Nothobranchius furzeri: one gene and its partner. The protein of the gene in region 1 binds, or shares a complex with, the protein of each later gene. Links are inferred from orthologs where the notes say so. Each region holds a gene or a part of one and is shown in the gene's direction. Other genes may lie near its edges. The genes, in order: sike1 and slmapa.

What was found.
Region 2: the proteins of sike1 (region 1) and slmapa are in contact, whole or in part, in a crystal structure (PDB 6AKM), measured with the Homo sapiens proteins. The link is inferred for Nothobranchius furzeri from reciprocal best matches to the Homo sapiens genes SIKE1 and SLMAP. Residues at the interface, in NP_079349.2 of Homo sapiens: Ile5, Ile8, Leu9, Ala12, Lys13, Leu16, Leu19, Arg20, His22, Asp23, Ala26, Glu27, Leu29, Val30, Ser33, Ala34, Leu36, His37, Val40, Met43, Arg44; in NP_001291349.1 of Homo sapiens: Leu168, Tyr171, Leu172, Glu174, Ala175, Arg178, Glu179, Met181, Leu182, Lys185, Thr188, Leu189, Leu192, Leu193, Ile195, Thr196, Ala199, Ser200, Thr202, Ser203.

Annotation. Positions count from the first base shown.
Region 1 is NC_091755.1:53,138,208-53,142,810, forward strand, and holds sike1 (suppressor of IKBKE 1), read left to right. Parts: upstream 1-1,534; 5' UTR 1,535-1,679; coding exon 1,680-1,838; intron 1,839-2,136; coding exon 2,137-2,242; intron 2,243-2,324; coding exon 2,325-2,467; intron 2,468-2,562; coding exon 2,563-2,676; intron 2,677-3,073; coding exon 3,074-3,196; 3' UTR 3,197-4,027; downstream 4,028-4,603. Other genes in the region: micos10 (MICOS complex subunit MIC10), read left to right, coding at 4,395-4,458.
Region 2 is NC_091743.1:68,927,222-68,931,038, forward strand, and holds part of slmapa (sarcolemma associated protein a), read left to right. Parts: intron 1-407; coding exon 408-545; intron 546-785; coding exon 786-954; intron 955-1,419; coding exon 1,420-1,470; intron 1,471-2,497; coding exon 2,498-2,605; intron 2,606-3,817. UniProt on the Homo sapiens protein: Associates with the striatin-interacting phosphatase and kinase (STRIPAK) core complex, forming the extended (SIKE1:SLMAP)STRIPAK complex.

The DNA of each region.
Region 1 (4,603 bases):
AGCATGTGACTTCCTGACAATCCGCTATTCTCAGCTGGAAGAGTCAAAGTGACCCGAGCAATTGTGCTGAACACCACGATAAAAAGCGTTTCAATTTTAATTAAAAACTCGTCACAAACCCAGAAATTAAAATACACATCCATGAGTAAAAAACAAGCATAATGGTGAATAAAACCTGACTAAAATAAAATTATAAACGCCTCAGACTTCTAAAGAAACGTTGCTCAGGCTACAATGCCACGTATTCTTCATTTGATTTTAATAAATGGTATATTGATACTTTCGAAAAAATATAAACAAAGATGCTTTCTTTCAAGAGAAGTACGTCGTATAAATTGTTTTTTGTAATTATTTGGAAAACTTAAGAATAAACGTAAAGGTCCAGTTTAAGGTGTATCGTTAAGAAGTAGGTTGGCACATTTGCGACATCATCCAGCTGAAACAAATGCAAAAACCAAAATGGGAATTAGATCAAAACCAATTTTAAATCCGAAATTTGTCAGACGGCTAATCAAGTCCGATACAACACACATGCGCTAAAACGTGTTTGATTTCCTAACAGATCGAGGGTAAACGAAGAAAACACCGCGGCTAACGGCACGAGGATGATGGAAAACAAAGAAACTACCTACAAAGCTCGCGTCTACAAAAGTTGTGCACCAACTAGAAACGTCTTAAGTGTTAGAATGGCCAAAGTAGCATGTCTTCGGTACTTTAGACACGTCAAAGAAACGCCAGCTTGCTATTTAACCGTCGCTCGGTCGTTTGGAACGTTAGCTCGTTAGCCAGAGCACGCTGCTGTGGCCCGAGAAAAAACAAGGCATCCCCACCCAGGCCCGACTTCTGCTGTACACCGCCCGTTCGCTTTGGTGACCCCGCCTGAATTATAAAAAAATTAAATGCGAAATAAGACATTTAAATATATCTCAACGGTTTACCAAGCAGAGAAAAATAATATAAAACTCACCCCAACAGCTTTTAGCACTGTCACCAGCGCCGCTAGAAGCAGCACGGCACATTACGTAGTGATTAGGGAGACAGCTCCCGCGATATTTGACGAAGGCTAGGGAAGCCTCTGCAGCTGGCTCTGTTGTCACGCATGGGTTCATGGGAAATGATGTTCAGTTGTTTTGAAGTAAATAATCGGGCTCAACCTGGGCTCAACCGAGGTTTAAAAGGCATTAAATGCTTAATATGCAGTAAAGTATGCTATTAAATGTTAAAACGGCTTTTCCCACAGGTCTGCGCACCAGACACTCATGAAGATAGTTGGATAATGAAATTATTCAGAAAATGTCTATGCACACGGTTTCCTTGCCGAGAATGAGAAAACCAAAGGATTCGTAAACATTTTTACGTCTACGATGATACGTTTGACGGCAAGATACTTGTTTACGGTACAATCCCGGAAGTGACGCTATATTTTTTCCTCTCGAATACGAAGTTGCCAACAAAAAGAGGGATTTCTTTTGTTATACATTGTCCTGGTTTAATTAGTCATCTGTCTCTTGAGAAATGATCTAGGAGGGTCCGCTGAGATATGAATATTTGTTTGTAAAACATTTTTGTGCGTTTGAACAGCATAGCCAGCGTAAGCTACAGTACGGGCAAATTTTCGCCTGATCAAACTGGTATTTGGAAGCTTTAGTTTACAAATACGACTAGTCACTTAATAGCTAATGGCCTGTACTTTTGAAAAAGTGTTGGGGGATGCTAGGACCCTCCTGGAAAGGCTGAAAGAGCACGATACGGCTGCTGAGGGACTGATCGAGCAATCCGGGGCCCTCAGCCAGAGAGTGCAGGGCATGAGGGAGGTGGGCAATGCTCTTCCAGACAAGGTAAGATGGTCTCTCACACATAAACGTTGGGTGAAAGTATATTTATATTAGAAGGCTGACTTAAGCCATGCATTAAGGATTTGGGGTTGCAGGTAAGCTTAAAATGACACTCTTCTCTAACTCTACTCAAGTACTTAGACATTTTGAGATAGAAGGTCTGATCGTCCAAAAAAGTACACCAGCCTTTAAAAGCATATTTAAATAATGGGAATTATTTATCAAGAGGTGGAACAGTCATCCAACTAGTGCTTAAAATGTATTTTTTACTTATGACATTTTCCTTGTTGCTGCCTTTTAGCACACAGAAGACAGCTCAGAGATTCGGGAACTCACAAAATACAAGCCTCACATCCTTCTGACTCAAGAAAACACTCAAATCAAGGAATTGCAGCAAGAGAATAAAGGTAAAATCCTTACAATGTTTTTAGGTATTTTTAGAGTTCATGTGTTTGTCTGTAATTTTTGTCTTCGCCACTGTTTCCGCAGAACTATGGCTGTCCCTTGAAGAGCACCAGTACACACTAGAACTGATCATGGGTCGATATCGCAAGCAGATGCTCCAGCTGATGATGGCAAAAAAGGAGCTGGACACGAAACCAGTGCTCAGACTACACCAAGACTACGTCAAAGTACACCAACTTTCATTGTGCTGTGAACATTCCCAGTCATGTAATTTTCTGACAGAAAAAGGGGTTTGAAGTTATGCTTTCTGAATCTTATCCAGGAAGTGCAAAGCCAGGTGGAACGGATATGTGAGATGGGCCAAGTGATGAGGAGAGCCATGCAGGTGGACGATCAGCACTTCTGCTCTGTTCAAGAGAGGCTTGCTCAACTGGAGGTAAGGACTGGAATGGCAGTCGTGATGTCAGGAGTTATCATTAAGCTTTTAAAAGGCAAAATCAGTGACTCTAAGGCTTTGAAACAGCTCAGGAAATTAGCATGAGTCTACAAACACACACAAGGCTTAGTGCTGCTAGCATAAAAACTGTTGGAGTTTCTCAGGTTTTCTTGTTTGCTAGTTTCCTGGAGCGTATGGTGCAGCATTAGATTATGAATGAAAATATCTGGACACACCTGAGATCAACTTAGAAACTCTTTGAGATGACTTTCTTGACTCATTCTGGTTAAAATGTTGATTCAATAAACCAAACTCGCATAGATACAACCATCTTGCATGGACTGGTGATAACGAGTAATCTACACGAGGTTACGTTTGGTTATCCGGGCTCTTTCAGATTGAGAACAAGGAGCTTCGGGACCTTCTGGCCATCAGCCAGGCATCTGTGAAGATGGGAAATGAAGAGAGCCACCAGCCATCAACACCAGCAGCAGCAGTGCCCTCAGGCAGTGACCAATGAGTGACCCGAGCAGCTGCAGTCTGAACTGATCAGGTGGAACAACCAACCAAACAGGAAGAGCTTTTTCTTTTTTAAGCACAACCTAGATTGCAGAATAATGTTTGTAAAAGTAATTTAAATTCAACATTAAAGCCATCAGAAGCATTTAACTACCAGTGGGTATATCATTATGATAGATATCTTTATGTACAGTAGTTGTGTTTTCACTGCAGCAATGTTGGGAGTGAATTCCTCATAAACGAACGGAGTTTGACTGAGGTGCTTTGGGTATCACTGGTTTATTTTATATTTATCTAAATGCTGAAGTGAAGCTGAGGGAGATTTATTTTTGTTTAGAATGGAGAAAGGATGAGTTTAATCTTTTAAGAACATAAAAAAGTAAAATGCCCAAAAAGTAAAATGCCTCTGTTTTAAACGCTAACTTGTACACCACGTGTGATGTTGTGTTCATCGCCAAGAAAATGACTATTGGCTGTTTCACAAAACAAAATGCCTGCGCTGGAATGACAGTGGGCAGTTTTTTAAAGAGATTGTAAATTTATAAATGTACATTTTGTCTGCCATAGTTGATTGTTATGCTTACAACATGATAAATACCAGTTTTTACTCTGAATTTTTAGATTGGATTGCAGAGTAAATGTGTAATAGTTGACTGCACATCTTTCTCACGGTAACATTTTGTAAGCATTACTTTTTTGAGTGTTATGTACTTGTGCACTGTTATTTTGTCATGAACTGTAAATGTCATCTCAGGAAATTACTGTTGGTTAAGTGAACATGTTTATGGAAGTGTAATTATTTGTGTAAAATAAAACTCGTTCTGAAAACTAAGTCATATTACCTTATGGTGAAGTTTTTGTTGATAAAACACAAAAACCTTATTTTTTAATTCAGGGTTTCACCGCTAGGTGGTGATTTTAAGCTCTTCTGATTGTGACAATGAGACGTTTGGAAAAACATCGCTCCAATAACATTTAAGTGGGAAAAAGCACCAAAAAACGTTAATTTATTTCAAGGCTTCAAAGTATTTTTATCATTGTCGATTATTTGATAAGATTTCATAAATGACGTGGTGAAATAATGGGAACTGCACCGCAATTTTCTTGTTATTCTAAATTTGATTTTCACAACTTGAATATTTTCCGGGTGACCTAAACGCAGCACCAGAGTCACATACCTGGAGCGAAGCTAAGTCAGGATGTCTGAGAAGGAGCTCGGTAAAAAGTGGGACCGGTGCCTCGCAGACGGTGTCATTAAACTTGGTAAATGTTTCCAAGTGTTCGTGTGATACTGTTACTTTAGTGTCCTGGAAAAGGGACAAAGAAAGCTGTTTTACTGTTTCACGCAGCTGTCATTGACTGCCTGGAAGGTTGGCTAACTAGCCAGCTAGCATGCTAGCAAAGGGCT
Region 2 (3,817 bases), on another chromosome or scaffold:
GTCACGTGTGACATCACATCTTGTGTACCTGGGGTCTCTTCAGTGCTGTAGACTGATAACACGAGTCTAATTGCTGTTTTGTTTTAGTTACAATGGGAACAAACAGATAAATGCATTTCAGCATAAAATCAGACTTGAGTTCTAAGACCGGCAGTTTGAACATAACCTTTAACCTCATCTAGCCTCTGCAGACTGCTTTACAACCTAGTTTAATGCCCATATTTGCACTCATGTAGAGGTGCAGCACTTTTCATTCCCCACAAAGACAATTTGAGCTAATTAGAGGCAGCGTGATGTCTCTGTCTCACCCACTGATGCTGTGGAGGATTCATAGGTTGAACCACATGGTTGTGTCACTGAACCACAGCTGCTGTTTGTTCATAAAAAAAAATTGTTACGTTCTGCAGCGCGCTCTCAGTAACACCGAGGATGAGTGTACCCACCTGAAGGAGATGTCAGAGAGGGGCCAGGAGGAGCTGAGGGAGCTGGCTAACAAATACAACGCTGCTGTCAACGAGATCAAAGAGCTCACTGACAAAATTAAGGTACCTAAACAAACAGGTCAGGATTAACGAGAATTAAGTCAGCATAGAAACGTCTTTTGAAAGCTTTGTTTGTGTGTTTAAAACTAAAATGTATTATTTTATTTCTTACCTCATGTTTTCTTTCTTTTATCTTTCAAAACAACTCTTTTCTTTTTTATTTCATCTGCTTGTTTTATTTCTGGTTTGCTTCACACTCGTCTCCCCTTCCTGATTTTTGCTGCTCCTTTTCTTCTCCTCCAGGCAGCCGAGGGCAGGCAGGAGGAGCTGACTCAGCAGGGGGCAACAGAGAAAAGGGAGATGGAGATGCGAATTGAAGAGATGGAGGAGAAGGAGCAGGTTCTCCAGGCTCGTATTGAGGCTCTGCAGGCTGACAACGACTTTACAAACGAGAGACTCGCGGCCCTCCAAGGTACAAATTAGTTCATCAGACAGTTACCCTGACAGATTTACTTTGTCCTTACTTCTAACCTCTTTAATCCAACCTTTAATCATATATTTTATCATAATTTCCATAATTAACCTCAAAGTGAATCATGTCCTCCATGTTGATGTTTCCAAACCCTGGTCCTCAGGGCACACTGACCTACATGTTTCCCGTGCTTCCGCACACCTTATTGCCTCCTCAGGAGGACATCAAGTGCTGCAGATGCCTGTTAATCCCTCATTCATTTAAGTCAGGTGTCTGGCAGCAGGGAAACACTGATGTTTAAAAAGGACAACATGGAAAACATGCAGGACAGTGTGCCTTGAGGACCAGTTAGGAAACACTGTGCTATGTGACACTATGAAGACAAATACTTGTAGATCAGAAGCTGGATCAGCAGTGTCTCATCAGATCTACTTCTGTAAGTTACTACTTTGCTGTTGTTTACAGTGCGGTTAGAACAGCTACAAGAGAAAAGCATTAAAGAGAACAACAGTCTTGGTGAGTCCACGTGTCTCCAGTCTGCTGTGAGACAAAGGTTGTGTGTCTGTGGCCGTTCACTTCACACGTTCATCCTGCACTAACGATGCATGCCACCCTGCTGCATGATATTCCTTTTCCTGTTGCTCACCGTTCTTGCAGCTCTTCTTTGTTCATTTGTTTCCTACGGTGGGATTCTGGTCGTTCATCTTCTGTTTTCATCTTGGAGGTGGTGGGATGTTCACACTCAGCCTGTCTTCCAGGAATAGGACAAGAAATGATTCATAAAGAGATTACAGATAAATCCACAAACACCTGAAAGTGTGTTGACTCCGTTTTACAGGCTTGGAGAGACACAAACTCCCCCCATTTTATGTTTTTAATTAAAGATCTAAAGAACTGTTTTTTGTTTTAGAGTAATGTTTCCTCTTCACATTAGAATATTTTATTATATCAGGCTTCAGAACAATTAAATATAGAAACTAGACATTAAATAAAAACCAGTCAAAAACACAAAGCTTTGTAAGAGGCCAGAGTCATCGTCCACATGAATGTTTATTAGAAAAAAAGACAAATTGTTCTTTTTCTCCCACTAAGTGGGTTTAAAACGTAGCTGTGAGTGTGACCATGTCGCTAAAATCAATCTAACTGGATTTTCGAAGTCTCTGGGAATGTTTTGCGTTTCTAAAACAACACAGTCATTTATTTTAGCCACTGGGTGTGTTTCAGTCTGAGAAGGGTTGTCCGTGGGGACGTGTTGTCCACTCTTAATGGGCTTGTTTGATAGTCTGGGTTGTTTCCACAGTTTTCAAACTGTCCACTGCTTTTGTTTATTCTTCTTGGGGAAATTAAAGAAGCTTTTGGTCACTGATTGACTCCTGGTGATTGAATGTCGACGCCATCCTTTTAGGTGACTGTTCACTGCTCACTTTGCCACAGCAGCCACATTTCTCAGGAGCCCTCCATCATTTAGACTTTGTGCTGTGCATGTGTGTAGCTGGTAGAGCCTCCGACAAAATGGTGTGTGTCTGATCTGGTCACATGACAGATGTCGACACGGTCTCCCGTGGACCCGTAGAGGAACCTGTCGAAGACAAACTGAACCTGGAGACGGCTGAGAGCCAAGACGAAGATGAGCGGGATTCAGATACTGATGGTAGTTAGTTTAATTGTCATAACAGAATAAAATATCAAGCACGTTTTTGTCTTCAGAATGAAAGACAATAAGCCCTTTATGCTTTCAAATAAAGAAGGAATCAATGTTATATTTGAGTTCTTTCTAGGGATTGTTTGTTAATTTGATTTATGTTAAAAACAAATGTAGAAAACTAGATAAGAGTTCATGTTAATCACCAGTGATGTATTTGATTCAAAAACAAACATGTTTAAAAGGTGGAACAAAGTTTGGTTCCAGAGGAATTTAGTAGAAATGTAAATATAAGAAACGGGTTTGCTTATTAGGCTGCCTGTTTGAGTTCTCTGTCCAGAAGAAACGTGATTAATAATAATAATCCCTTCATGCTTTTCTTTGTTTCAGTTGTGAAGCAAATAATGTTTGGGTGTTGAGAATTAGTTTCAGTGTTCACGCTCACAAAAGACATCTCAATGTAAAACGGTTGGCTAGTCTGCAGTTGTTTGTTGTTCTGGCAGGAGTTCTGGTACCAGAACCACCGTGTTTTACTCTCGGAAACAAGTTGTTGCTTTTTTATCTTTGATTTCTTCCCCATCTGTCTGGCCAGCGCCTGTCTGTCCATCTAGTTTTTGTCTGTCTATAATTCGTCAGCACTGCCATGCTTTAATTGCTTTTATCTGTCTCATTGTCCTCACTGTGGCATTACTCATAAAACATTACTGTTTGGGATTTATGCTTCAATCTTTCTATTATGATTCTGCTTCTTCAGTCCAGGAAATTACAATGTTGAGAGCTTCACTAGGGGTGTAACGGCACGCCTGTAAACCCTTCTTTCCACCGGAGCCGTCAGCAGCGCGAGTCGGCCGCGTCTCAGGAGCAGCATGTCACGGCCCTTACGCGCTGGTTCTATTTTCTACGCGCGACACCTCTGAAACGGGTCAAGTTCGACATTTTTGGGGAAGGAAAGACAGGAAATCGGATGCGGAAACGGAGCGAAGCTCCCGAGATTTTCAGAATAAAGAAACGTACTGCCTTCCGGTTACTTTACTTTAAAAAAAAGTGACTAGCTGTGCGGCCCCGTGAGAAGTTATCACCTAGCTAGCGGTCTCCTTTGTGTTTCAGGTCCGTTTTGGCGATTATAAAACGGACAGAACATAAAACACAAACCATGTTGTAATTTTCTCCTGCTTGTTGTTGTGTTTACTGACGAAGTCACTCATGTGACTTCGTGCTCTG